Linked DNA regions of Saccharomyces cerevisiae S288C. Changing the gene in region 2 together with the main gene of any one other region gives a genetic interaction. Each region holds a gene or a part of one and is shown on either strand. Other genes may lie near its edges.

Evidence for each region.
Region 1: mutations in AIM2 (region 2) and HAL1 together harm fitness more than expected from each alone (negative genetic interaction), as found in Saccharomyces cerevisiae (one large-scale study listed by BioGRID).
Region 3: mutations in AIM2 (region 2) and LMO1 together harm fitness more than expected from each alone (negative genetic interaction), as found in Saccharomyces cerevisiae (one large-scale study listed by BioGRID).
Region 4: mutations in AIM2 (region 2) and GRC3 together harm fitness more than expected from each alone (negative genetic interaction), as found in Saccharomyces cerevisiae (one large-scale study listed by BioGRID).

Annotation. Positions count from the first base shown.
Region 1 is NC_001148.4:562,927-569,906, reverse strand, and holds HAL1 (Hal1p), read left to right. Parts: upstream 1-3,235; coding exon 3,236-4,120; downstream 4,121-6,980. Other genes in the region: REC8 (Rec8p), read left to right, coding at 1-571; methylisocitrate lyase ICL2, read left to right, coding at 911-2,638; AIM45 (Aim45p), read left to right, coding at 4,866-5,900; YPR003C (uncharacterized protein), read left to right, coding at 6,139-6,980. UniProt on the Saccharomyces cerevisiae protein: Involved in salt tolerance.
Region 2 is NC_001133.9:47,450-54,530, forward strand, and holds AIM2 (protein AIM2), read right to left. Parts: upstream 5,147-7,081; coding exon 4,406-5,146; downstream 1-4,405. Other genes in the region: flavin adenine dinucleotide transporter FLC2, read left to right, coding at 1-801; oleate-activated transcription factor OAF1, read left to right, coding at 1,115-4,258; ERMES complex Ca(2+)-binding regulatory GTPase GEM1, read right to left, coding at 5,352-7,081.
Region 3 is NC_001144.5:131,535-139,837, forward strand, and holds LMO1 (Lmo1p), read right to left. Parts: upstream 4,766-8,303; coding exon 2,768-4,765; downstream 1-2,767. Other genes in the region: DRS1 (putative ATP-dependent RNA helicase), read left to right, coding at 195-2,453; YLL006W-A (uncharacterized protein), read left to right, coding at 4,811-4,987; ERMES complex subunit MMM1, read left to right, coding at 5,052-6,332; SPO75 (Spo75p), read right to left, coding at 6,406-8,303. UniProt on the Saccharomyces cerevisiae protein: Forms a transiant heterodimeric complex with DCK1, that acts as a guanine nucleotide exchange factor (GEF) for the small GTPase RHO5. DCK1, LMO1 and RHO5 relocate to mitochondria upon oxidative stress and trigger cell death.
Region 4 is NC_001144.5:66,617-74,883, forward strand, and holds GRC3 (polynucleotide 5'-hydroxyl-kinase), read left to right. Parts: upstream 1-1,963; coding exon 1,964-3,862; downstream 3,863-8,267. Other genes in the region: E3 ubiquitin-protein ligase PRP19, read right to left, coding at 129-1,640; putative AAA family ATPase RIX7, read right to left, coding at 4,017-6,530; IRC19 (Irc19p), read left to right, coding at 6,793-7,485; YLL032C (uncharacterized protein), read right to left, coding at 7,654-8,267. UniProt on the Saccharomyces cerevisiae protein: Polynucleotide 5'-kinase involved in rRNA processing. Required for the efficient termination by RNA polymerase I and the processing of the IST2 pre-rRNA internal transcribed spacer localized between the 5.8S and 25S rRNAs.

The DNA.
Region 1 (6,980 bases), on a different chromosome or scaffold from region 2:
AGAAAACTCTCAAGGTAACATCCTAGATTTTAATTTGAATCTACCTCCTTCAAGTTTTGGAAGAAGTCATACCAGAAACTCAACCAGGTCTAGTGGTTTCAATGAAGATATAGTTGGTGCTCTCAGAAGGAGAGTCGGGCCATCTGAACAGAATTTTGCCGAGGAAGACGATTCCAGCAACAGTTGTTTTTCTGATGGCTCTCAGCAAAATTTGCAGCAGGACAAAACAAATTTTCAAGACGTCATTCTGGATTATCAAACTAAAAAATTCTACGATTACATCAAAGAAAGATCAATTGTTGTCGGAAGAACAACGCGCTCCAATCCGCCTTTCAAGAGAAAGATGCTGTTGGTTGACATCATCCCAAGCCGCATGGGCGAAGCTCAAACGGGAGCTAACTTTGATGATGTAGAAAGAGGTGTCAGCAGACAGATAGCCGCCAGTGCCTTCCTATCCTTACTGAATTTGGCTACGAAAGGGATGGTCAAGTTGAACGAATATCCTGTTGCAGATGCGGTAACTAAAGATCTTAAACTGAGAAGAGAGGACGAAATAATTGTATATGCCTGAATTTTTATTTTCTCCTTCCATATGAGCGACAGCGGTTACTAGCCGCTGTCCTCAGGTTAATGATCCAAGTCCGAGATCCGGGCCGAATATGCTTGCGGGGAAAGAAATAAAAGTGCATTGGAGAAGAAAAGGATATGCTCTTCAATTAGAAGCGCCGAAACACTAACATCATGCTAGCGATATCATACGTACACTATATAATGTAAAAAATGGGCTTAAGAATAACTCTCTTATTTCTTAACTTTTGTTGCGGTTGAAGAGCTTATAAAAGTACTAGTGGCCTAAAGAAGCTACAGCGCCGATAATAATATCGATTTCGACTTTTCTAGTATTTCGCCGATGATTACAATGATTAACAACAAAACTTTCAATAGAAAAACTACGGGAACACTGAAGAAGCTGGTTTTGTCATCAGACAAGTCACTGCGAAGATCTTTCAACGGGGCAAGCAGTACTAAAGACTTCGTGTTCTCGGAATCAAGTAAAGTAGAAGAATGGTGGGAATCAGCCAGATTTAAGAATATCAGTCGTCCATACTCAGCTACGGATGTTGTAAAGCATCGGGGCAGCCTTCCTGCTAATACTTCAATTTATCCTTCATCTTATCAAGCTCGAAAGCTGTTCAACTTACTAGAAGAGAATTTCAAGAATGGTACTCCACTTCACACGTTGGGAGTTATCGATCCTGTACAAATGAGTCAGTTGGCCCGTTGCAGAAATATCAAAGTTGCTTACATATCTGGTTGGGCTTGTTCTTCCACATTAGTTGGATCTACAAATGAAGTATCGCCGGATTTTGGCGATTATCCATACGATACTGTGCCGAATCAAGTGGAGAGAATATTCAAGGCGCAGCAATTGCACGATCGAAAGGCTTTCTTGGAGGCCTCCATCAAAGGTTCTACTCCTGTTGATTATTTAAAACCAATTATCGCGGACGCAGACATGGGTCACGGTGGCCCAACGACTGTAATGAAAGTTGCTAAGTTGTTTGCGGAGAAAGGGGCTGCTGGTATTCATCTTGAAGATCAGATGGTGGGAGGCAAAAGGTGTGGCCATCTAAGTGGGGCTGTTTTGGTGCCCACAGCAACACATCTTATGAGATTGATTTCCACCAGGTTTCAATGGGATATCATGGGGACAGAAAATTTGGTTATTGCAAGAACAGATTCCTGTAATGGTAAGCTGTTGAGTTCAAGCAGTGATCCGAGAGACCACGAATTCATTAGGGGTATAATAAGAGATAACGTGGTGCCTTGGAGCGAAAAATTGATTGAGATGGAGGACAAAAAAATTCCCAACTCCGCCATTGCTGACATGGAAAAAGAATGGTACCATGAAAATGAGCTGTTTACATTTGAAGAGGCCTTAGAAAAGCAGTTTACGGCAAGCGAGTTTGAAAGCTATAAAGAAAAGAAGGAAGACCTTATGGTAAACAAGCTGGGTAGAGCATACCTAAGCTTAAGAGAAATGAAACTTTTAGCTCAAGAAGTGACACCACTAAAGAAAATTATATTTGACTGGGATGCTCCGAGGACCAAAGAGGGATATTACATGTTTAACGGTTGTATTGAAGCAGCTATTAGAAGATCTTTGGTGTTTGCCCCATATTCTGATATGATTTGGCTGGAAACGAAAACTCCTGACCTGGAGCAGGCACGCTCATTTTCAAGAAAAATTCATAAACAACTTCCAGCTACCAAGCTAGTATATAACTTATCTCCTAGTTTCAATTGGAGCGCTCACGGCTTTGATGATAAGGCATTAAAATCCTTCGTATGGGACTTGGCAAAAGAAGGCTTCACGTTGCAACTGGTTTCCCTTGCCGGTCTGCATTCAGATGGAGTATCATTCTGGGAATTAGCCAATAGCTTCCAAAGTGACGGAATGAAAGCATACGTCGAAAAAGTGCAAAAACGGGAAAAGGAGACTAATTGTGATATCATGACACACCAGCTATGGTCTGGTGCAGAATATGTTGATTCCTTAATGAAAGTTGTCCAAAACGGTGCTTCATCCCAAACTTTAAGTACATCTGGTGAGAGCTTTACCGAAACGCAATTTTGAATACGCTTCAAGAAGATAAAAGTATAAATAATACATATTGCCAGCAACTTAGTCACATATCTCTTTTATCTCTATTTATCCTCTTTTTATTAATTTATGACCACGATCACTATATTTAGTTCGAAAGTTAGTGTTTGTTTTGCCAAGATATCCTCGCAGAAACAGTTTTACTTAAAGTTTCAGGTGTTGCGTGGAATGCCCCTGCTAAGCTGTCGTGTCGCGCTCTTCCCCGCGTTTGTTTCACATTATATATCATATGGCGTATGACGGTATGGGTGAAAATAAGCGTAGGCTGGTTGTGTGTATTTCTCTCGCACTTTGAAAGGGAAAAATAAAAATAGAGTCTATTAGGAAGCTCACATATGCCGGGAAAAATTACGTAAAGCATCAAAAGGGAAAGAAAATATAGGGAAAGATAAAACAAAAAGCAGAACGGTATCAGGCATTCTTGTTTTAGCCTTTATGTACGATATGGCGTTTATTATGGAGAATATTGAGGTATTCAACTATTTAATACTTGCTATAAATTCTGCCAAACTACTAATCATTCCGTTTATATAACTCAAGAAAAGAGAAATACAGAAACAAATAGATCAGATGCATTTCAAAGATTTAGGATTGCATGACTACACTCTCAAAAACTTGATGTATGAGAATAATTGCTGTAAATTTTATGATGCCGTGGATGAAAACAACATCTCATATGTTTTAAAATTTGTTCCCTCAGATGTGACTTCGGAAGGGGATACTTTCCCATTCGTGGATCGCTTTCAAGTAAAGGAAGGTGTTTTTTTGGTATATTCCTCAAATGACTTTGGAAAAGAAGGTACGGACTACTTTACTTATACTGGTAGTGGTGGAAATGAGGTTCACATCTCGGGCACCTCTTCAGAAGCAGGAATAAAACCGCAGTTTATTGAAACTTGCCATCCAAAACATCTTAAGCGGGGAACAAAAGAGCAGGAAGATATAAATAGTAGTACCTCAAAGAAAAGTGCAGTTATCAACAATTTTTCGGGTGAAAAAACACCAAATCCAAGGCCACAGAGTTCCAACATTTCAGAAAGAGAGACGTATGTCGGAATATTGAACGTCAAATGTAAAAATAAGAACTCATCGAAAATACGAAGTGAAAAATTGGTAAGCTCCGTCATCGAAACAAAGCATACGCCAGGATTGGCATCTATTTTATCGAAAGAAGGCACTACATATCCGAATAATGCGGACGGGAAACATATCAGTATCGTGAATCCATCCTCAAAAATATATCATTCATCCCATAAACAGATTGTTAAAACGCCTATCCCTAAGAGTGGCCTTTCTCCAATTGAGAGATGCCCTTTCAATGGTCAAAATATTAAATGCTACTCACCAAGACCACTAGATCATGAAAGTCCCCAACGTGATTTCAATAATAACTTTCAGCTGAGAATACTGAAGAGCTCGGTGTTGCAAAGGAGACAATCAACACAGAATAGTTGAAAAATTCGTTGGTACTAGCTTCGGGTCGGTTAGCTGCGCTGCTATGCATTTGTTAATATCTCCATCGAATTTTTGTTGTTTCGTTCAATAACTTTATTACTTCCCCCTTGGACTCTTTCGTTCTATCGTTCTACAAGTCCAGCCAAAATTTTTCCCCTCTTCCTTTTCTTTTGTTCACTTCTTAGCTCACTTATATAATTATATACTGATATTTGGATTCTTTTGTTGCAAATATGCTCTCCCAGATTTTTCTGTTGAGATGATTCATGCTTTACATGGATTGAGCATTAGAGAGTAACTATATCCAATTTCGTAAGACGAGTATCTACTTTCCCTTGTCCCCAGTAACCTCAGGAACGTGACAACTACTTTTCTTAAACTGTCAACAGCCAATGATACCGTATTCAATGCATGTCTTGGGATTAAGCCACTTTGATTGAGTTCCGTATTAGTAGTGAGAATTAAATCTTGCAAGATATAAGAATTACTCAACAGAGACGAGATACTTTCCTTTTTTTGGTTCTTTTGTTGTTACTTGGCTTAATGGACAAAGTCTGCTCGCATATTGTATATGTTACTCTTACGATGTGACTCCGCCCGTTTATTATGACTTTTCGGTACATTTTTAGGGCCTCGAACGAAAATCTACTAACTAAAAATTAAAAACAATTAAAATAATCAACAAACAAAATCTAGTGATATAATTTACTACCATTAACGGTAAAGCAGCTAATTGTTAATTTCTATGTTTAAATCATTGGCTGCTGTCTTGCCTAGAGCTAGCAAGGCAAAGTTCCTCCAGAAAAATTACGCCTCCACTTTAGCTTTCATTGAAAGCTCAAAAGATGGCTCTGTTTCAAGGTCATCATTGAGTTTATTGGCTGCTGCACAAAAGTTGTCTAACCCTATCACAGCTGTAATCACAGGTAGCAAAGCTGAAAAAACTGCTGAGGCGCTAAAATCTTCATATTCATGCAGCAATTTAGAAAAGCTTGTCATATTTGAAGATTCAAAATTAGATACCTGTCTTCCCGAACAACTAACTCCGTTATTAGTGAAACTATTAAAAGGCGGCGACTATTCACATTTTGTTGTCTCAAACTCCTCTGTTGGAAAAAGTGTTTTACCTCGGGTGGGTGCGCTCTTGGACGTCCAACCTGTTTGTGAGGTTACTGTAATCAAAGATCCTAAGACCTTTATAAGGCCAATTTATGCAGGTAACATTATTTCTACAATAGAATGCCAGGCAGAAAAAAAACTGTTGATTATTAGGGCATCAGCTTTTCCACCAATTGCAGAGGGTAGTATGGATTCTGTTACCATTGAGAAGAGAACTGATATTCCTCCTTGTGACTTAAATGTTACCTGGGTTAAAACTATTCTTACCAAGAGTGAAAGGCCTGAACTTACTTCTGCACAGAACGTGGTAACTGGTGGAAGGGCACTCAAGGATAAGGAGACATTTGAGAAGCTATTATCGCCGCTAGCAGATGTTTTGCACGCTGCTATAGGTGCCACAAGAGCTTCTGTTGATAATGGACTATGTGATAATTCTCTACAAATCGGTCAGACTGGTAAGGTAGTCGCACCAAATTTGTATATAGCCATTGGCGTTTCTGGTGCAGTTCAGCATTTAGCGGGAATGAAGGATTCGAAAGTTATCGTTGCCATTAACAATGATCCTGATGCCCCTATATTTAATGTCGCTGACTATGGGTTGCAAGGGGATCTTTACAAAATAGTCCCTGAACTAACTGAAAAACTTGGTAAATATAAATAAATAAATTCTTAACTTCTAAATATATTCATCTCTTCGCTTTGAAGGGGGCACGTTTTACTTTTCCTAGTTCTCTTGCCTTTTTAAAAATGACCTTTTCGGTGTAAAGCGGACTAAATATAAAAGACTACGAGAAATGGCAAAGGAATAATAGAGTTCTTCCAGATGGGAGAATATGAGGAGAACAATAACTCCACAAACTTCCTAGTGATTTCCAAGAACTTACGGAAACAATTATAGGATGACATCAAATAATTCGTTATTGGGGCGTGGAAGGATGTCATATTCCTCTACCGCTCCACCAAGATTCAAAAGATCAGTCGACCAGCGTGACACTTTCTCGGACAATTTTGATTATGATAAGGATTCATCCAATCGAGGCAGGACCTATATTGCAGCATCTAATTCAACTACTGGGGTACCCCCACCCAACAACTCAAGATCAGGATGCACCAATAATACAAATAATACAAATAATACAAGTAATACAAGTAATACGAACAATAATGATAGCGTTGATGAGAATACAGTGTTTGAAACTTTACCTTATTACCTGCCCTGCTTTTCATGGCTTCCTGAGTACACTTTCAATAAACTGTGGGGCGACGTAATCGCAGGTATCTCAGTAGCGTCATTTCAGATACCACTTGCGCTATCGTACACAACTTCAATTGCACATGTCCCACCTTTATGCGGACTATATTCTTTGGCTATTAGCCCATTTGTCTATGGTATTTTAGGTTCTGTTCCTCAGATGATAGTTGGGCCCGAAAGTGCAATTTCCTTGGTCGTGGGACAAGCAGTCGAATCTATAACACTACATAAAGAAAATGTTTCTCTAATTGATATTTCAACAGTAATAACATTTGTTAGTGGCACTATCCTACTTTTTTCTGGTATTTCCAGATTTGGTTTCCTTGGAAATGTTCTTAGCAAGGCACTTCTACGAGGTTTCATAAGTTCAGTAGGACTGGTTATGATAATCAACTCTTTGATTTCTGAATTAAAGCTAGACAAATTTTTAGTAAGCTTGCCTCAACACTACCATACCCCTTTCGAGAAAATACTTTTCCTCATTGATTA
Region 2 (7,081 bases):
AAGGCTCAAGCAATGATCATCTTTGTCATTGAACTAGCTTACTTCGTTTGTCTCTGTTGGATAAGACCATATTTGGACAAGAGAACTAATGTTTTCAATATTGCTATTCATTTGGTGAATTTGATCAATGCATTTTTCTTTTTGTTTTTCAGTAATTTGTTCAAGCAACCAGCAGTGGTTTCGTCAGTGATGGCGGTTATTCTGTTCGTTTTGAACGCGGTGTTTGCTCTATTCCTATTATTGTTCACTATTGTCACCTGTACACTGGCATTACTACACAGAAACCCAGATGTCCGTTACCAACCAATGAAAGATGACCGTGTGTCATTCATTCCTAAGATTCAAAATGATTTCGATGGCAAAAACAAAAATGATTCTGAACTGTTTGAATTGAGAAAAGCTGTTATGGACACCAATGAAAATGAGGAAGAAAAAATGTTCCGTGACGACACTTTCGGCAAGAACCTGAATGCAAACACAAATACAGCAAGACTCTTTGATGATGAGACTAGTTCATCCTCTTTTAAGCAAAATTCCTCTCCCTTCGATGCCTCGGAAGTAACGGAGCAACCTGTGCAACCAACCTCCGCTGTCATGGGTACGGGTGGCAGCTTCTTGTCTCCACAGTACCAACGTGCGTCATCTGCTTCTCGTACTAATCTAGCGCCGAATAATACAAGCACCTCCAGTTTAATGAAGCCTGAATCAAGTCTCTACCTGGGGAATTCCAATAAATCATATTCGCATTTTAACAACAACGGCAGCAACGAAAACGCCCGCAACAACAACCCATATTTGTAATCCAATATATACTCACATGTAACAACTTATTATATAAATATTTAAGGGCAAGGATATCCTACATTATATTTCATAGAAAACCGCTCAAAAAGGTGTATTATCTCCATTACATCCCAACACCACACATATTTCAGCGATAAAAACCTTAAATGTGAAATTCGCTTTGGCTCTGCTTCCTTAAATGTACGCAATTGCCGCTTTTTTCTGACATCTTTTTTGACGTGTAGAGAAGGAAACAGATCCTCCAGAAGGGATTTACTGTTGGCTATTTTGTGTTAGAAGCAGGTTAATAATAGATTAGGTTGCGTAAGTCATGGTCGAAAATAGTACGCAGAAGGCCCCACATGCCGGAAATGATGATAATAGCTCTACCAAGCCATATTCGGAGGCGTTTTTCTTAGGGTTCAATAACCCAACGCCTGGATTAGAAGCTGAGCACTCAAGCACATCGCCTGCCCCCGAGAACTCCGAAACACATAATAGGAAAAGAAATAGAATATTGTTTGTCTGCCAGGCTTGTAGGAAGTCAAAAACAAAGTGTGATAGAGAAAAACCTGAATGTGGTCGATGCGTCAAGCATGGGTTAAAATGTGTTTATGACGTATCAAAACAGCCAGCACCACGAATTCCGAGTAAAGACGCCATTATATCAAGGTTGGAAAAAGATATGTTTTATTGGAAAGATAAAGCTATGAAGCTACTAACAGAGAGAGAGGTGAATGAATCAGGCAAGAGATCAGCAAGTCCGATCAATACAAACAATGCTAGCGGGGACAGTCCTGATACCAAGAAGCAGCATAAAATGGAACCTATATATGAACAAAGTGGTAACGGGGATATAAACAATGGTACCAGAAATGATATTGAAATCAACTTGTATAGAAGTCATCCAACCATGATCATGAGTAAAGTCATGAAAAGAGAAGTTAAGCCGTTATCTGAAAATTATATTATAATTCAGGACTGTTTTCTAAAAATCCTGGTCACTTCAGTGTTCCTTGACACTTCAAAGAACACGATGATACCGGCATTGACGGCAAACGCGAATATTACAAGAGCCCAGCCTAGCGTAGCAAATAACCTTTTGAAATTGAAGGAAATGCTAATCAGACAGTGTCAAACCGAAGATGAAAAAAATCGTGTAAACGAATTCACTGATAGAATACTACAAAATACAAATTCAAATAGAAACTTGAAAATCGGTATGCTATTATCAATGCTTTACAATTCTGTCGGTTACCAATATCTGGAGGATCATTGCCCTCAAGGTGGCGAATATTCGGATTTATTGAGAAATTTGATCAATGAATGTGAAGCTATTTTGCCATCTTACGAAATTATTGAACGCTACAAGAACCACTTTTATGAGTACGTTTATCCAAGTCTACCTTTCATCGAATTAGAAATTTTTGAAGAATCATTAAGTCAAACAATTTTTCCGGACCCAAACAACCCCTCCAAGGTGCAAATACGTATGGGTAGCACACATTTGAGAGCTAAGGTGGAAAACTTGAGTCTTCTATTGGTTATCTTGAAACTCTCATACATGTCAATAAGGTTTTTAGATCATAGTACAGCAGACTCGAGTTTTTATCTTTCAAAGGAAATAATTGATAAATACCCAATACCGAACGATTTTATTTTATTGAGTCAAAGATGTCTAGCATCGGAAAATTGGTGTGCATGCGCTAATGAAAACATCATATCATGTTTACTATATATCTGGTCTTTTTTTGCTTTTTCTCCTGAAGAGGGTGATTTCTTTCTCGAGCACCCCACCGATGTTATCAGTAGTTTGATAATGATGCTTTCCACCTCGATTGGTCTCCACAGAGATCCTTCAGATTTCCCTCAATTGATTTCCCCGTCCACCTCAGATAAAAGAACCTTGAATCACAGAAGAATACTCTGGTTGAGTATCGTTACCGTTTGTTCGTTTGAAGCAAGTCTCAAAGGTAGACATTCTGTCTCACCGATATCTTTAATGGCCTTATTCCTAAATATTAAGGATCCTGATTCTCTGACGGTATATATGAACCGAGTTAGGGGCGATCTAAGCGATATCAATAATCACAAACTTTTGAGAATTCATAAATTTACATTCAAGAGAGCCCAGCTTGCGTTACTCCTGTCGGACTTAGATAACTTGACGATGACATACTATGGTAGTTTCCATTTGCATTCAATTGAATTCATAAGAGAAAAGATTGAGATTTTTGTGGAGGAAAACTTTCCCATAGTACCATTAAAAAGTGTCGCACAGGATAAGTCAGACCTTGATGACATGAATGTGATTTCAGAAATGAATATATTATCTTCAGAAAATTCTTCTTCATTTCACAATCGAATAATGAATAAACTATTGATGTTGAGAACTTCAATGGCCGTATTCTTGCATTTTGAAACACTTATCACTAAGGATAAAAGTATCTTCCCATTCTACAAGAAATACTTTATGGTTAGCTGTATGGATGCGTTGTCACTAATAAATTATTTCAATAAGTTTTTCAACGGAGAATATCGACACGCAATATCTTCTTTAACCAGTTTTAATGTTACAAAATTTATTCAGTTAGCACTATCCAGCACAATCTTCAGCCTATTAGGGATTATACTAAGAATAGGTTTAGCCATCCATATGTTATCTTCTGAAGTACAAAAGTTATCGGGAACGACAGATCCAAGAATAAAGGAGTTAAATACCAAAGTCGAAAAATTTAGTACCCTGCAAAGAGATCTCGAGTCTGCTTTAGAAGGTATATATTGCTCTGCTTCGGAACATTTAAGATTCACATACTTCCCCGTTTTTAAGATGTTGGCTTTATTCGATGTCATTGTACAAAGGATGAGAAAGGGTGAATTATGGCACGGCATATTTACGATGATTCAAATGGAACAAATGCATTCTAGGATAATCAAGACATTAAGCATTACCTTAGGAGTCAAACTGGACAAAAAGGATAGGCTATTAGAGGAATTGATGGCATGCAATCACGTTGCGAATTTTAGCGTTGAAGATATAGATGAGCTGAACCGTAATATCAAAAAAGAGATTCAAATTTCTTCAGGATTGAAGCCGCCTGTAAACACAATTGACTTAACCAACGGCGAACCATTCGGAAATGCTGTTCCTACCTTCACAAAGACATGGAGTTCATCCTTAGATAATTTAGAAAAACTATCATCGGCCGCTGCAGTTGGTCAGAGCTTGGACTACAACAGTGGTTTACGTCAGGGTCCTTTGGCGGGTGGTGGTTCAAAAGAGCAAACGCCAATAGCCGGGATGAATAACTTGAACAATTCAATCAATGCTACACCAATTGTCGATAACTCATCTGGATCACAACTTCCTAATGGTTTCGATAGAGGCCAAGCGAATAATACTCCTTTTCCAGGTTATTTTGGAGGTTTGGATTTATTTGATTATGACTTTTTGTTTGGCAATGACTTTGCTTAAAAATTTTCTTTCCAAACTCCTACCTATTCATTTCATCAATTAATTAATATTATATAGCCACGAATTTATGAAACTGACCGATAATATAAAGTGCTCAATATATATATATATGTATATAACGGTTAACGTAAGAAGAGCTCTTCCCTCTTAAACATTCGAAAAATGATTGAACCAGTATATTTGGTCGAGCAAGACTTTCTCCTTCGCATATTTTACGGCAGGTATGGATATATCGCCTCTTGCTGCAAACCCGTGAGCCACACCACTGAAGAGGTCTAACTGGTAAGTAGCGTGATTATCCTTTAATTTTTCCTCCGTTAAGTGTCTTAAGTTTGCCGGAAAGATGTGATCCTCTTCCGCTGCTGAAATCAATATTGGTTTCTTGCTATCAATTGCTTCAATTTCCTCGATGCTGACGAAAGATGGATGTGCAATGGCTGCAGCATTGGCAAGACCCCCGTCGCCACTAATGTGTTGGACGGCAAACTTTGCACCAAAACAGTAACCCACAACGCCAATAAACTTTGGGTCATATTCAAGTTTTAACAACTTCATGAATCCATCAACAATTTTCTTGGTGACTTCAGGAGAATGTCTTTGAAACCAGGCATCACGATCAATTGGTTTGTCCGATGAGATAGCATCGCCGAATAAAATATCGGGAACAAAGACCATGTACCCAGCACTAGCAAATTTGTCGGCCGTTAATAAAACATTGTTGAATTTATTGCCATACACATCTGTCAAGATAACTATAACTTTTTCCTTGGGAGATGTAGAGCCTGCTGCATAAGTATCTAAACCGAAGATTTCTTCACGACGACCCTTGGGTGTTCCATCGTGACAAACTCCTTCAAAGCAACACTTGCCAGGTTGATTAGATGCCATTTGATTGAAATAATTTTGTTCTGCTGTAGTTAGACGTAGTGGAAAACTTTAAGTCTACTGAGTCTTGAGACCTTATCACCCTTTGAAGGTTTCTTGCAAATGAGCGTGGTTTGGCATTTTTTATCGGAAAGAAAAAAAGGGCTCCGCCTTAGGCCAGATATCATAGAAATGCAACACTTCCCTAATATAGAAATTTGGGCATTAATTATTTTGAGAATTTTGATGATTTGAATAATTTCATTAACGTAAAGGAACATAGTGCTACGAATCCAACAGTGGACCCAAAAATGAGAGCCGTTTGTCTGTAGTCGACATCTTTTGCTGCTGTTTCTTCTGGCAATCCCGGAGTGTTTTTGCCAGGATCAAGAGCAGCTTCTGTGATTTTAATAAACAATTCATTAAGGGAACTTAGCCATCTGGATGATATGTGCAGTGGGTGGTTCACAAATAGCTCGTCTGCCAGTTCATCTGGTTGGATTTGACACCTTTGTTGCTGCTTATCCAAATCTGCCTTAGAAGCTACAAATACCAACGGTAGATCTTGTAAATGTGTGAATTTGTCTAGAAGCGAAACTAAGTAGGAGAATGATTCTGGGTCGCTGGAATCGTATGTTAGACAGATTACGTCACATTCTTTTAACTTATCCTTATTCTCTAGTATGGCGTATTCCTGTTCTCCAAGTTCTTGCAAAATCAAATAGTACTGTTTCCCACCTTTGAGTTCTAAACTATTGACTGCAATTCTTGGTTTGATTGTCGGAGAATACTCCTCCGAGAAAGATCTGCCCAAGAAGGCCTCTAGCAAAGAGCTTTTGCCGCAACATGGCTTTCCAATGACAAAGCAATTGAACACTTTTCTGTCATTGATATTGGATCTGTAAAGTTTCCCGGAACGGCGTCTCATTTTCCTTGGCTTGGTTACTTGTAGGGCTAGTCTTGCATCTTCCTGAAAGCCAAAATACACCAAGTAAGCGGTAGTTGTGCTATAGTTCAAGAAAGTCGTCATACTCCATTGTGCTAGCCAGCCTTGTAAGGTGATGCAACCCTTGTTGTTTACGACAGTGGAGAAGGGGAAATTCGTTGAGGTCCATAGTTTAGGCAGCCCTGGTGTGCACTTAAATAGACGATGTAATTCTTGATTATTCAAACCACCATCATTGTCGATATCAAACTTCAAAAAAATATCTACAAGAAATCTGTAGCCCTTGGGGCTCAATTCCACACTGGAAGTGTCAGGGACAACCAACCTCGGATGGAGAATTTTGTCATTAATACACAAGGAATCTGTGTAATGGAAAGTTCTTAGGATAGCCCATGTAGTTTCGTGTCTCCCCCTTTCAGCGTATATTTTGTTCAGTACAAGGAAACCATCTTTGGTGATGCCTTTTCCCGGTACGTATAGCTTGCGGTTAATGTACTCTTGATCGTGCTTGGAAATATCCAAAAGCAAATCTTTAATAAAATTCAGTTCGTTTACATCGATACTCTTATTGAAGCACTTTTTTTGTAAGCCCAAGATTTCGTTGTCATCTAAATATGAGTCCTGGTTTAAATCGCTTAAAAGAAAAATTCTTTTTAAAGCCATGACAGCCAATGGCTTTAGTTCACCTACCATGGCATCAAATAAAGGTGATATTGGGTGTGTTATAGCCCTTTGGCAAAGATAAAACGCTTGGTTAAGATCAAACTGTGTCTTGGCACTTGTCTTAATGCAAGTGTCGATTTCTTTAAACTCCATTAATATTGGGATAAATTCTTCATCCTCCACTTTGGTATCGATATCATCATCACTGTTCTCTGACACGACCATTGCATTGGCATTAACATTCGATATGGAATCACATTTATTTTTGCAGAGAATGACAGGAATATTCAACCCCAGGGATCTGAAATGAGGCAACCAAAAGAGAGAAACATGGTCATACGATTCGTGAT
Region 3 (8,303 bases), on a different chromosome or scaffold from region 2:
TCTTTTTTTGAAGGAGATAGGTAGGGTTATAACATTATCCGGGTAATGATTTGAAAAAAAATTTTCAAAAAATGCGATGAGATGAGGTTGAAAATTGTAAGTTAGAATATGCTTAGATAGTATGAGTATTTACGTTGGTAACTTGGGTTTCGAATTGGAGCTGTGTGCCTACAACAGCGTCTTATATATATACTATGGTGGTAGGAACTAAAAAATACTCTAATTTGGACTTTGTCCCTACAATCAGTGACAGTGAAGACGATGTTCCAATTCTAGATTCTTCTGATGACGAAAAAGTCGAGGCTAAGAAGACTACGAAGAAGCGGAAGGGTAAGAATAACAAGAAAAAGGTTAGTGAGGGGGATAACCTCGATGAGGATGTTCATGAGGACTTGGACGCGGGGTTTAAGTTTGATTTGGACGCCGATGATACCACTTCGAACTTCCAAGGCTGGAACTTTCTAGCAGAGGGCGAGTCCAATAAGGACGATGCCGAAGCTTTTGTGAAGAAGGACGTTGACTTGGATAAGATTATTAGAAGAAAAGGTGGGCTGGTGAAAATGGCCCATATTGATAGTAAACAAGAAGAAGAAACCGAGAAAGAAAAAGTAGAAAAAGAAAACGATAGCGACGATGAGGAATTAGCAATGGACGGGTTCGGTATGGGAGCTCCCATGAACAATGGAGACGAAAATCAGTCAGAAGAAGAAGAAGAAGAGGAGGAAAAGGAAGAGGAAGAGGAGGAAGAGGAGGAACAAGAAGAGATGACGTTAGAAAAAGGCGGCAAAGATGACGAAATAGATGAAGAAGACGATTCTGAAGAGGCAAAAGCCGATTTCTATGCGCCTGAAACTGAGGGAGATGAAGCTAAAAAGCAAATGTACGAAAATTTCAACAGTTTGTCTTTATCTCGTCCGGTTCTTAAGGGCCTTGCAAGTTTGGGTTACGTCAAGCCTTCCCCTATTCAAAGCGCCACAATCCCCATTGCCTTATTGGGTAAAGACATCATTGCCGGTGCTGTGACTGGTTCCGGTAAGACTGCTGCGTTTATGATTCCCATAATCGAGCGTTTGTTGTATAAACCAGCCAAAATCGCTTCCACCAGAGTTATTGTTCTATTGCCCACTCGTGAGTTAGCTATCCAAGTCGCTGACGTTGGTAAACAAATTGCACGTTTCGTCTCCGGTATAACCTTTGGTCTGGCCGTTGGTGGTTTGAACTTGAGACAACAAGAACAAATGTTGAAATCTCGTCCGGACATCGTCATTGCTACCCCAGGTAGATTCATTGATCATATCAGGAACTCAGCAAGTTTTAATGTGGACTCAGTAGAGATTCTGGTTATGGATGAAGCCGATAGAATGTTAGAAGAAGGTTTTCAAGATGAACTGAACGAAATTATGGGCCTATTACCAAGCAATAGACAGAACCTATTGTTTTCTGCTACAATGAACTCCAAAATTAAAAGTTTAGTTAGTCTTTCTCTAAAAAAACCAGTAAGGATTATGATTGATCCTCCAAAGAAAGCTGCTACTAAGTTGACACAAGAATTCGTTCGTATTCGTAAAAGAGACCATTTGAAGCCTGCCTTGTTATTTAATTTGATTAGGAAATTGGATCCAACGGGTCAAAAGAGGATTGTCGTTTTTGTGGCTAGAAAAGAAACTGCTCATAGGTTAAGGATTATCATGGGTCTTTTAGGTATGAGTGTGGGTGAATTACACGGTTCTTTAACCCAAGAACAGCGTTTAGATTCCGTTAATAAATTCAAAAATTTGGAAGTTCCTGTACTTATCTGTACGGATTTGGCCTCCAGAGGTCTTGATATCCCCAAGATTGAGGTTGTTATCAACTACGATATGCCCAAGAGTTATGAGATCTACCTGCATAGAGTTGGTCGTACCGCCAGAGCTGGTAGGGAAGGTCGTTCCGTCACCTTCGTCGGTGAATCATCTCAAGATAGAAGTATTGTACGTGCTGCTATAAAGAGTGTAGAAGAAAATAAGTCCCTAACTCAAGGTAAAGCACTTGGTAGAAACGTAGACTGGGTTCAAATCGAAGAAACAAACAAACTTGTTGAATCCATGAACGATACGATTGAAGATATTCTGGTGGAAGAAAAGGAGGAGAAGGAAATATTAAGGGCTGAAATGCAATTAAGAAAGGGTGAAAATATGTTGAAGCATAAAAAGGAAATCCAGGCAAGACCAAGAAGGACATGGTTCCAAAGCGAATCAGATAAGAAAAATTCCAAAGTATTAGGTGCTTTATCAAGGAACAAGAAAGTCACTAACAGCAAAAAGAGAAAGCGTGAAGAAGCTAAGGCAGATGGCAATGGTGCACGTTCTTATAGAAAAACCAAAACCGACCGTATTGCAGATCAAGAAAGAACTTTTAAAAAGCAGAAGAGTACAAATTCAAATAAGAAGAAGGGCTTCAAAAGCCGTAGGTAATAATTTTCATCGTCATTATCATAAAATATCAACATACTTATCACTGTCATTATATTATTAATACTTTGTATTTAAATATCATTAATTCATCTAATAAACAGGGGATTAGTCAAAAATTCCTTTTTTTTTGTTGAATCTGTAGAAGTGAGTATTAATAAACTGCAAGCTATATGCTATATTAAAAGGATTTTTCAAGTACAAACGAACTGAATGGAGACTCAAGCTACTTGCGGGAAAGAATTACAAAATTACATTCCATTCTAGTAAAAAAAAGTTATAAATAAAAAAAAATCGTCTGACGACAAATTTGTATCTTAATCAAAATAAAAATTTTGGGTTACTTTCTTTAACGTTTCCAAGTTATAAAATTCTTCATCTTCGTCCTCGTCGCTTGGTTCAGGTGGAGGCACTATGATGTCCTGACGAACGTTCAAATTTATCATCTGAACATTTTTCCTCAAATCAAATAAAGTGTCTATTTGTTCTTTCGTGTCTTCTGATATATCTTCATGCTGGAATGGAGATATCAATTTCAATCCGTCTAGCCATATATATCTTCCCTCTTCTGTGTCTAAATAAAATTTCAAAACTGTCCTGTCGTTACGATCTTTTAATTCAACTCCAGTGTACACATTGGCTTCATCTAATTTGATGTAAACATTACTGCTCGTCCGACGACTCGGTGTAGTAAGTTCTATGCTTTTGAAAGAGGTTATATGTTTCAAAACAACAACTTTTGTTCTGCCATTAGCTAATGCCTCAGAACCTGGACTTGTTAAAATTTTATTGTCGAATAGATAAGGTAAATCGTTTGTTTGTGTTTCGAATTCTCTGGCTAATAAATTTGCGTGGTTATCTGAAACTATGAGGAAGTAGACTTTAGGCGTGCCAGCTTCAGGATTCAGTGGGTTCTCTGCGTAAACCCACGTTCCCTTTTGCAATTGAAGAAGTCTTTGATGACGAACGTAATCACGAACCTGGCCTGATAGCATGGTATCGAAGCTAGCGATACTAGATGACCAGGTTCGATACTGTTCTTTTTTGATTGAGTCTAATTGTAATGTTCTTGCAAATTTATATCTCATAGAGTCAAGTGCAACAACTTGGGTCTTGAGAAGGGATTTCGTCTGTATTGCTGCTTCCAAATCACTGGATGACAAACAAACATATTTTAAAGTGATAATAGCTAAATTTAACAGTGAAACCAAATCACTTTGCGATTTTGCTAATGATTCTATCCAAAATCTCAAAAACAACTCGAGTGTTTTGTAAAAACATGTTTGTCGATTGAGAACAGCGGTAGCAATTTGTAATTTTAAATCACGCTCTGAGTCTGAGTATTGGTTCTCTTTTTTCCCACTTAGATTGAAAAGTCTTCTAAATTGGTCTGAAAGTTTAAATATTGCTTCATAAAGAGGGAAATCGTTCTCGCCAAACAACAATTGTTCAGTGTAAAGTCTCTTGAAAGACCCATTAGGACTGTTTAAGAATGTGAATGTATCATACGCATTTAATAAATTTATACTGGGAAGATCGCCCATTTCCATTTCTAACCCTTTTTGGAATACGGAGTTATCTTTGATGGCTGTAAGAAGATCAGCTTTAAGCGAACAGGAATAATCATCAATACTAACCGAAGATAGAAAATTTATTAGCCTCTGCTTTAACGGTACAAATTCTTCAAGGATTAGTGGTTGCAAGTCTTCTATGTAAAGTAATTCAGACATGGAAGCTGGAAAGTTATACTGAAATAGCAAAATGAGGATTCTGGGTACAAATTCTACGGCGTGTGATAGTGATGTCTCACATAATGTAAGTGAGCATTTTAAAAATAGGGTTATGCATAGTATAGTGTCCGTAAACAACGGTATATGAATAGGTCTTTGGGACAAAAGTTGTAAAAGTATTCCAATGAGCTGAGAGTTCTCTCTGGAGATGTGGCAGATGCTCACAATAACTTCATTCTTATTAGAATCTTGGCATTTAAGGGCTACATTAAAAATCCTAATGAGATTTGCTACCAACGTTTCTGACCTTAGCTTTTGGCAATTATCACACAATATAGCCCAAAATCGGGAATCTGGAATTACGGTTTTACATAGGTATTTTTCATCACAAAGGAGGATATAGTTTGCCAATAACTTTTCGTATTCATCACTTGTCTTGTTCAAATTTTTATTACTGATCAGCGTATGATAGCAAGCTTTTGATTGTGCACTCGTAAGTGACTTGACTGGCTTTCCTAATTTAGGATTCAGTAGCACTTTTATGTTTTCCAAGCTTTCATCTGGCATCTGCCTGTTATGCTTCATTGCTTATGCCGTTATTTGAGGTTACTTTAATCTATTTTCCTACTGATGACACAATTGAGTCAATCCAACGTGGAACGGGTTGCCCTTGTATACATTTCAGTTTACTTCTTTTCATGTATTTCCTTAATAGTTTATTTTTTCACTTTCTGCCTATCCGTTTCAATTCCGAAGAACCGTCAACATCCAATAAAGATCATCTACAACAATAAGTGCCCCTCATAATTTTCTCAATGAGATGAAAGAACTTTGAGAGAGTCAATATAATACCTGTAGCCTTTTTCTGAAAATGACTGATAGTGAGAATGAATCCACCGAAACGGATTCGTTAATGACGTTTGACGATTATATAAGCAAAGAGCTACCTGAACATTTACAGAGACTAATCATGGAGAATTTGAAGGGTTCTACTACTAATGACTTAAAGCAAACTTCAAACAACTCAGAGTTTAATGTCAGTAAAAACGGGAGCTTCAAAGGTCTCGATGATGCAATTCAAGCTTTGCAAATGCAAAGCGTGTTGCATCCTTCTTCGTTAGGATCGTTAGCAACGTCCTCCAAATTTTCTGGATGGTCGTTTGCTCAAGGGTTTTTTGTAGGACAGCTAAGCATAGTGTTGTTGTTCATCTTTTTCCTAAAGTTCTTTATATTCAGTGATGAGCCATCTAAAAGTAAGAATCCGAAACCTGCAGCCTCCCGTCACAGATCAAAATTTAAAGAATATCCCTTTATATCTCGCGAATTCCTGACTTCTCTTGTTAGGAAGGGTGCTAAACAACACTACGAGCTCAATGAAGAGGCAGAAAATGAACATCTTCAAGAACTAGCTCTTATTTTAGAGAAAACCTATTATAATGTCGACGTGCACCCTGCAGAGTCATTGGACTGGTTCAACGTTTTAGTTGCCCAAATAATACAGCAATTCCGCAGTGAGGCTTGGCACAGGGACAATATCCTTCATTCCTTGAATGATTTTATTGGAAGAAAATCACCCGATCTGCCTGAATATTTGGATACCATAAAAATAACTGAACTGGATACAGGTGATGATTTCCCCATTTTCTCGAATTGCAGAATACAATATTCGCCAAATTCAGGAAATAAAAAGCTAGAGGCTAAAATTGATATAGATTTAAATGACCACTTAACTTTAGGAGTAGAAACAAAACTATTACTTAACTATCCAAAGCCTGGTATTGCCGCACTCCCCATAAATCTAGTAGTGTCAATTGTGAGGTTTCAGGCGTGTTTGACCGTATCTTTAACTAATGCAGAGGAGTTTGCTTCTACTTCGAACGGTAGCAGTAGTGAAAACGGTATGGAGGGCAATTCAGGATACTTTTTGATGTTTTCTTTTTCTCCTGAATATAGAATGGAATTTGAAATCAAGTCGCTAATTGGCTCACGGTCTAAACTTGAAAATATTCCCAAGATCGGCAGTGTCATTGAATACCAAATAAAAAAATGGTTCGTTGAACGATGCGTTGAACCAAGATTCCAATTTGTCAGGTTACCAAGTATGTGGCCACGTAGTAAAAATACGAGAGAAGAAAAGCCTACAGAGTTATAAATATTTATGTACAAATTTTTTGTTCTATCTTTTTCCTATCTTCTCTGCCTCATTTTTGGTGTTCCAGTTTTGGTTAGTGCAAGTGGCTATTCTCCAAGTGACAATCACCAAATAAATTCATTGAATACATATTAAGATCGAATTTCAGGTGATACGACTTCTCCAAAAATGATTGTTCTTCTTCAGAAATTCCTAGTTTGTCCCTTGGTAGCCAAATTTCATCCGAATTTCTACAAATGGAGAAAATATCATGGAAAGTATAACTTTCTTGACAGAATTGGTCCTTCCTTTCCTCTGTTAGATTCGACAAGTATTCCAAAGTTGGTATGCGTTGAGGCTTCGATTTTATTTGTTTGGAGATTTTGGAGTGCGTGATTACTGTTAGAGCAAAGACAACAAGCATTATAGTTGACAATGTGTATTGATCAAAAAGAGTGAACAGCCCGAGTAAACAAAATTCCATGAAATAAATGCCCGCGTACAATTGCATAAGGGCCTGTATGTACAATTTACCGAACGTTTCAGAATAGTTCTCTTTGTTATATTGGTATTTGAACAAGTAACTGAAAGAAAAGAAAACCATCGAAAATGAGATGCAACATAATAATAATATAATAGGAGCAACAACACTGTATATGATACCAATACAGCCCAACACTGAGAATATAGGATAAATAGATCCTAGTTGGAAAAATAAAGATGTCTTTAACCTCTTAAATTGAGCATGTGGAGTACTCCTTTTCCATTTATAGTAGAACAATTCAAAAAGTAGCTCTTTTATTCTTAACAAATTACCGCCTGCATAAGCCATTCCCCTAATCAAAACAAAAGAACAGAAAAAGTTTGCGCATTTAGGCAAGTCGTTGGCCAGGAGAGCAGGGATACTGACAGGATTGTTAAGAAGCCTCTCAATAATTATAGAAAATCCAGAAGATATTGTAACAACTACGAAAAGATGAATGAAGACAAAGACGAAATACCAATTCTGGACATCAGCTTCTATTTGCGCTCCAGTTTTCAACCCTCGAAGGTAACTCAGCCAACGGAAAAAGTAGGGTACGATTTCTATTATTATTATTAAGGTTACTATTGGAATCAAATTCTTTGCCACTTCTCTTATAAATGGAGATTGGAAATGAATTATTTTTGTAAACGGTATTAGTGAGGAAATATTTGGTATTTGTGATATTAACCCAAGGAACGCGACAGGCAAAATCCAGCCTATAATCACAAAAATTCGCAATATATTTGCCGAGAAATATTTGGCACTTTTCCAAAGGGGTGATGAATCGAGGATATTTCTCCAAATAATGTCATTAACATTGGGGCCTATTATTACTTTTAAATTTTGGGTGGGTAGTCTATACGAAAGCAACTCACCTATAACGTTTGACAATAATGTGGACTTGAAGGTAATGAACATCTTATCCATATAAATGTCTGTGCCCGACGATAAATCGTCGGGCAGTGCCTGCTTGGTTTCTGAAGTTGCTTTCAAGGAATTTACTTGGAATTTAATGAGTTTTTCCTTGCGTATTATTTTATCAAGGATTCTGTATTTCCTTTCTAATATTGTTTCTGTATTTACATACAGTTTAGGGTAATATAACGGAAAGATGCTTGACTTTTTCCAGCGCAGACGAATTTTTGTGCAATAGTATGAAATTCTAAATTGAGTTAAAAATACCAATTTTTTGTACTGAAATAATAGATGGTTTTTCAACTTTGAAAAGAAAAATCTTTTGTGATTTGCTATCAAATGCCTGTGTATTGAAACTCTTCTAAAATATTTCTCTAAAATAATCTCAAAGATAATTTGTTCTTTTGATTTTTGTAATTTATTTAACTTTATTTCTAATTTGTGGACTTTCTTCAAATTTTTTGGAATGAAATGCGTCACGCCAAAGCAATCACTGTGTAGCGGCTGAAAAAAAGTTTCTAAAGAAATACTTTGGGTAACCAATTTACTTG
Region 4 (8,267 bases), on a different chromosome or scaffold from region 2:
TTCTTTTTTTTTTTTTCTCACTAAAGCGTTGTCCTAGAGATGTAAAAAGAGAAGGAAATGAAATTTTTACTGGAAATGTTACTACTATTACACAGGTTTATTTAGAAAGTACAAACGTGTCAGCGTATTTAGGGTGTCAATGCAACAATATTGAAACTATCATTTGTCTTCAGAATAGCGGCAATACCACCATCTCCGCATACCACGTCCATATCAGTGAAATCGGCAGTGTCGCTTTGCAAACAGAGGGCGCTCTCCTCGTCTTTAGTCCAATTTTTTGTTTTCTTGTCAAATTTGTATATCGTCAGCGAATTGCTCTCGTTTGAGTATGCAATCATATTCTTTCCAGAGTCGTCAATGTCATAGGTAACGGTGCCCGTCTTGAATTCTGGGATTGTGTAAGTTGGATACGCTAGCGTGCCGACATCCTTTCTTAGGTCAAAGCAAACCACAGTTTGGTCACACTCTACTACCATCCAGTACCCATTGTCTGCAAATTTAACCTCTTTTATCTTGGCTTCTTCATCTACGGGGAATCTAGAGCTTGCCTGGTCAGGTGATGACAAGTTGTAAACGTCTAATATACCGTCCGGAGAGTAAAGGGCTAATAATAATGAATCCTTATGTAGGACACCGCTGCTGTACTCAACATCTGATTTAGCAGAATGAACAATATACTGGGAATCATCCTCGTAGGATTGAAATCCTATGGTTCCTCTATTATCCGCCCAGATGAAGTACTCTGTGTTGACCTCGTTGTGACCATACATATATATAATCTCATTGGCGGAATCTACCTCTATTTCTCTGAGGACTTTGTTTGTTTTTGAGTCCAATATAGTTATTTGGTTACCTGGATATAGTAGTAGCAAACGATTACAAGGCCCTCTGGAAATAATAGCTGGATGCTCTCCCCCGGTACGGGGATTTGGTGTAGTTATTGTGGTAATCGTTTTCGAATCTTTTAATTGGGTAAAATGTAAAGCACCATCCTCACAGCGACACATGCACACCCATTTATCATAGTACATAGATTTGTTAAGCTCTTTATATGGGAATGTTTTGATGTTACGGGAGTAATTTTGTGCCTGTAATAGCTCCAAATTTTTTAAAATCGGCCATTTGGGTGCTTTGAGCTTGCCCCTCGCTACAAAGTCTCTAGAAGATTGTAACAGCCCTTGTAAAAATTCTTCTCTCGTAATAGCTACCGCTTGCTGTGAGGATTTGGGTAAATCCTTCGAATCTTCGTTTTTTTCCATCAATAGTTGCGCAGCGACCAACTTTGCAGCATCTCTTTCGTACATTACAGTCGACAGTTTTTTCGTTAAACTATCTAGAGTTGATCGTAACTTAAAGTTTTCGAGCATTATAGCATCCCATTCATTCTGTAAACTTGTCAACAGATTCGGAATCGAATAATTCGCTTTTAACGTAGCAGAGTTTGTAGACTCTGTTAGTGAGGCTTGTTGCGCACTAGGTACGATTTCCACTATTTCTTCGATGCTTAAGGGCTCATTTGTTATCGGATCATTCCCCGTATCTTTAACATACTGTTCAAGGAGCGACTTTTCAAAAATAGTCCTGGATTTAGGTGATAGAACTGGCCTTCTAGGAACTTTCCCACTAATAGCACAAAGCATTGTTCCCTAGTTGGCTTTCTTGGCTATGTTTTGGTCTTTAATATTTCTTGGAAAGTTTGCATCTTTCTAAAATTGCCCTTACGAATTTTTCACCGCTGCTACCCGAAAAAGTACGAAATTTATCAACATGAAATTTATTCCTGCCAAGTCATCGAGTGCTCTGCGCCTAAGGCTTAGGTTGCATTTAAGTTGTCTTAATTCACGCTTATAGTGCAGGTAGTATAGGTTCCCCACTCCTGATCTTTCCCTTCTGAAATAAGGAAAGACTGCAGTTTAGTTTGGCAGAGAGAAGAAGATAATCATTTCTATTATATTCTACCGCTATGGTGATAGATTCCAAACAGGATCTACCTCAATATACCAAAGATTCAGGTTCAGAATCGGACTCAGACTCAAGTAATAATTTCATTGTGGAATCTCCGTCAATTCCATCTTCAAAAAGTGCAACCGTAGTTCTCAATAGTGAAGAGTATGAGGACGACGAAGGTGATGACTTGAACGGGCTGGATGCTGAATTGATCGATAATATAACGTATGAAGGAGATGAAGATGAAACTATGTTTGTGGGGTTGAAAGAAAAACAGAAGTTACATTTATCTGGTGTTTTCCGGCTGCAAGTGGTGAAAGGAGGTATTGTCTACAACAATGTACACTATAACGCTTCGAGAGAAATTTTAACCTTCTGGCACCCGTTATCACAGTCCATACCTACTATAGATTTTTCGCACTTTGCAGGCTGGCAAGACACTTTTTTTATGCCGAGAAACAACAGGTTTAAAATTAGAGATGAAGAATTCAAATCATTTCCATGTGTTCTTCGCGTTTTTAATTCTAATCATACGGGCTTGTTAGAAGCAGGTCATTTATATCGGGATGTTAATTATCTATGGAAACCTAAAGAACCTTACTTTCCATTAAACGAGAGAACAACGTATCATTTATTACATGAGTCAGACCGAATTCAATCTTTATCCGTGCCGGGATATTGGTCAACTCCGTTAGAGAAGTTATATTTGAGTCACAAGAACGCTGCGTATGATACAAGAATCATGGTGATTGGTGGTAAAAACTCTGGGAAGTCTACATTCTTGAGGCTTTTATTGGAAAAATTTACGCAAGATATACGAGATTCTACTACGAGCCAGGAAGAATTGGTATACCTGGATTTAGATCCTGGTCAACCTGAATACTCACTACCTGATTCAATATCCCTGAATAAGATTCTTTCCAGCCCTATTTCTCTCGGACAACATCTCTGCCAAGGTTCAAATTTCCAAACTTTGTTACAGTTCTACGCTGGCTCCTCTTCCCCGCAGGACGAGCCCACATCATACCTGAACTGCGCTGATAAACTTATAGACCATTTGGAAGAGCAAGCCTTCTTCGGAACGTCATTGCTTAATCTACCTGGGTGGATAAAAGGATTCGGGATGCAGATTTTAAATCATATAATAAGGAAATATAAGCCCACTCACTTATTGTTTTTGGAAACAGCTAATTCGAAAAGACACCTGGATGAACTAACAATTCCACAGAGTTTTTCCACATCACTACGAGATGCATATGCACCTGAAGTTGTTCGCGTTCCAGCCCATAGTCTGAACCACACCTTATCTTCTAGGTTCCATGCATCACAACTGAGAACATTCAAAATACTGGCACTGTTTCATAAAATAACTCAATTTGATTATGATTTTGCGCCTCTTTTAAAATCTGCACCTTTGCAAATTTCATATGGCAAAGGTAAAAGCGGTATTAAAGGCATTCAATTTCCTATGGAATTCCAGGATCTGAATCCTCAAGATATCAAGTCCGCATTGGAAGGTACTGTCATTGGGATATATACATATTCTGGAGAAGACTCACTAGAGGTGAAATCCTTGAATACCTTTCCCATCCTACAATCGTGTACTTCTTCTTCTAAAAATTTCATAACTCTGGGGCTGATACACTCTATTGACACCTCCCAGCAAATAATGAACATTTACGTGCCACCTTGCCATACCCAGATTTTAGATAAACAACCTGAGGATGCTCAATGGATAATAGTAAGAAATAAGACGGAAACTCCTTTTTGTGACTTTCTTCCATCCCCCCGCACAATTACATGGGATGATAATATACAAATACCGTTCGCAACTTTTGAAAGAAGGAAAAAATTGGAACATGTGTGGAAAGTTCGTAAGAACGTCATGAGACGTGGCCAATTCATGAAAAGATAGAAAGAAAAGGTAATCGTACATTTTTTAATAGTGAAAGATAGAGGATACACAAAAATCATGCAAAGTTTTATATATTTGTTATGTATACTCATATTCCTTCAATATCTAAGTCATACTAACTTCTAGGGACTTTACCAAAATATTATTTATAAATTTATTGTTTCATTTCTTCCGCATCCTTCATCTCCTCCGTTAAACCCATTTTCTTATTTAATCTATCATATTTCAGTCTATCTTTATCGCTCACAGAGGGTTTAATCTTTCTTAATGCACTTCGGAAGTCAGACATGGTCACAATAATTTCTTCGCCAGATACGCCAACCGATAGATCCTCAAATTCCTTGTCTAAGTCATTATCAAGAACAGATTGTATTTCTTCGCTCTGAAAAAACTTCCTTTTTAGAGCCAAGACTGAACTCTCCCTGACTAAAGCAGCCAAGTCAGCGCCTGAAAAATTGTTGCACTTCTCATTTCTGATAATTTCTTCAAAATCAACATCGCTACTCAGAGGTGTTCCGTGTGATTTGGTCAAAGTTTTGATAATATCTAGTTTTTCCTCAGTATTAGGTAACTCAATAAACAAACTCTTATCCAATCTGCCCGGTCTTAACATAGCAGGATCAATCATATCAGGTCTATTAGTGGCGCCAATCACAAAAATTCCCCTTCTATCGTTCAGCCCATCTAATTCCGTTAACAAAGTGTTGACGACTCTTGAGGAGGATTCGGACAAAGAAGTATCTCTTCTTGGCACCAAAGCGTCCAGTTCATCAAAAAATATAACACACGGTACAGACGCCCTTGCTCTAGTAAAAACTTGTCTGATGGACCTTTCTGATTCACCAACGTATTTATTTAATAATTCAGGACCTTTGATTGATATGAAATTTGCACGAGATTCATTGGCAACAGCTTTTGCTAGTAACGTTTTACCACAACCTGGTGGTCCCCACAATAAAACACCACCAGGGGCGCTAATTCCCACTTTTTCATAAAGCTCTGGTCTCTTGATGGGTTGCACAATAGCCATATTTAATTCAAGTCTAACTCTTTGCAATGCGCCTACATTAGCCCAAGTAACATCAGGTACCGTAGCGAACCCTTCTCTCTTTGCTGTTGGTTGAATTGTTGGCAACGCTTTCAAAAAATCTTCGTACTTAATCGATAATAATGATAACTGCTCTCCTGATAAAGGCTCAGGATAATTACGAATAAATTGTTGGACTACGGATAAAGGCAACGGATCGATCATATTCGCAGTGTTCTTCAGGCTAGATTCATCTCCGTTTGCTGTTTCATCAATTTCCATGTTATCTTCTGAACTGTCCGTTGCCGTAGTTGGTGTGGATTTTATATTAGCATAGGTTTGGAAAATTCTTTTAATAGCGCATGTACCGGCAGCAGTAACTAAAGCCTTTAAATCAGCGCCAACAAAGCCTGGGGTTAATTTTGCCAATTTGGCAAAATCGATAGCACCATCAATTTTTAGGTTATCAGACATTTTCTTTAAAATATGTAACCTTGAGACTTCATTCGGGACATTCAGGCATATTTCTCTATCGAATCTACCTGCTCTTCTCAATGCTGCATCCAAAGAGTCAGGTCTATTCGTGGCACCTATGATAATAACAGGTTTTCCATTTGTCTTTTCCATCGTTAATTCATCCATTGAGGTCAATAATTGGGCAACTATTCTTCTCTCCATTTCTCTTTGGGCTCCTCCATCACGTTTTGGTGTAATGGCATCTATTTCATCAAAGAAAACAAGACATGGTGCCAAGCTTCTCGCTTCATCAAACAAATCCCTAATCTTTTTCTCGCTTTCCCCAGACATACCACTTACGACTGAAGGTGCAGAAATAGATATAAATGGGACTTGTAATTCTCCAGCTAACGCATTAGCAATCGACGTCTTACCGCAACCCGGTGGGCCATGCAACAGAACACCTCTAGGTGGTTCGACACCCGTGGATAAAAATATCTCTGGATGAAGAATGGGTAGACCTATTAGTTCCATAAGTTGTGCAACGACATCATCCATACCACCTAAGGATTTCAGAGACGAATTAGGTGGAGATCTATCTTCCTTGATTTTTTGACGTTTTACCTTACATGTACCTTCTTTGGATCTTTTTTTAGATTTTTTAACCTCTTCTGTCTTAGGATCATCAGTTTCTGTTATAGACTCGGAAACAGATCCAGATTTGGACCACGTGCTAGTTATGCGTTTGTTCATCTCATTTGTGTCTCGCTCAATCATCATATTTTTCTTAGCTAGTTCTTCTTCCAAGCTTGGTTTCTCTTCCTCTTCGTTGTTGTAACCTGGGTAAGAACCAAATTCTTCCAATTCTGATTCAATCACGTCTTTTAGCATGCGGTCAATTGTCTTTTGTAAGACAACTTTCTTAACTCTTTGAAGTGATAAATCTTTAGTCAAACAAAAGGTAAAAATCTCACCTGCTGTTAAATCTTTAGCGAAAAACATGGATTCAAATATATCCTCATCTTCTTCACCCTCGTTGTTCTCGCCCTCTTCTCCTTGGGATTCTTGTCTCAGAGACCTTTTTCTGTCCAAAGTTTTTTCTTCCAAGAGACGATAGATAAGATCGACGATCTTGTTATCTAGAGAACTTGTTAATGAGTTCTTTTTCGACTTTACTTTAACCATTATTCCAGCCTTCCCACCACGTAGCTATTATCGGCCCTAATGATCTTTTATTCTAACTGACTCGCAGATTAATTCACACATCGGTTGTTAATCATTGTTTGAATTTCCAAAATATGCGATGAGCTGAATGAAAAATTTTGGAACCTGTCACTATCGACGAACATCGAAGTTTGCCATGACAACCATATATGAAGAAAGCTTATGAGACTAGCTCGAGTATATCATACGTATGCATGTTAATCGCAGTTAAGCGGATAACACAATGCGTAAGCCTTCTATTACGATAACAACAGCAAAAGCTATTATAACTCCAGACTATACTCTTATTAAATCGCATTCTAAATACCAACTTCCTTCACGTTTTCAAAAGCTAGATGCAGACTCACCTGAGAGAAGTACAGTTGTTAAGCTATTTTACCGCCGATTTATGAGGCTTAAGCCTTTCATATCGAATGTGAAAATGGTTAAAGATACTTACAGGGATTATGTTCGATATAAGTTTATGAAAGAAAACTACGAACTCAAACGATACTTGGTATTCAATCCTGATGGCTTGAGGTCGAAAATCAATCTTGAGCTTCTCAGCAACACGAAATGTTGTGAAAGGATACTCCCCGTGACTGAGATGCAAAGAACCTTGGAATTTGTTCTGAAGAGCTGTTCATACTTGCCCGAAACAAAAGTTCAAAAGTGGGATATTGCAAGGGACAACACATATTGCAGGCAAATTTTAAAGAACCTTTTAACAATGCAATATGAAAAGTACAGATCGATTTTGCATAGAGGAATAGGCCATGATGAGCTTGACGTCAAATTCTCTCATTTGAAAACTACTTCTAGTCCGCTAACTAAGCTAAATAAAACCGAAAAGAAAAAGATTCCGCTTTTCAAAGTATTTAGTGATTTCGATACAACATTGATATATCTCAATGAGACATTAGGTACAAGGTTATAAAGATCATTATCGTAAAAGAGGAGCGGAGCGGAGCTTTTTAGTATGTATGGTAAAATATCAATCAAATACTGTAATAGATGCGGATATGCGCAATGACATATTTTGTGGTGTGCATATCCATTGAAAAGGTGCGTAGAACGTTACAATACTACTGAACTTTTTTCCTTCTCATTTTCTGCCATTTTGATATTTATGCCTATTATTGGTTTGAGCTTTATTAGAGTTGGCATAATTATAATCGTACTCGTATGTATATCCGTATCCATACCCATATCCGTTGTAATAAGTGTTTGGTATATATCCTTTGATGGCTTGGGCTCCTCCTACCGTCGTTATAACAGGCATTTTGTGGCGTTGTGGTGAGGCTCCTGATTGGCTGGTATTATCGATGGTCGTACGACTTTTGGCATTATTCATTGATCTGAAATTGCCATTGGTATTGCTATTACTGGTGTTACTCTTGCTGGAGGCAGACCCTAGAACAAATTTTTTAATTATTTTTTTAAATATTATTTTCGTCTTTTGTGTTTCCAAATAATTGGATAGTAATTCGATTGCTTTTGTTAGAGTATTCTCATTAGTATCCTTTTCAAAAGTAAAAGTGATAAGGTCCTTCTCAAAAGTTACAATTATGTTCATAATTTGCAAAAATGGAACAACAATTAGGTTATAAAATTCGTATTCTTTATTGGGATCTATCTCTTGATCTATTTTGAACTCGTATTCATAACCAAACGCACTATTAACCAATTCGTTAGCGGCTCTTGATGCATTCTCATCAT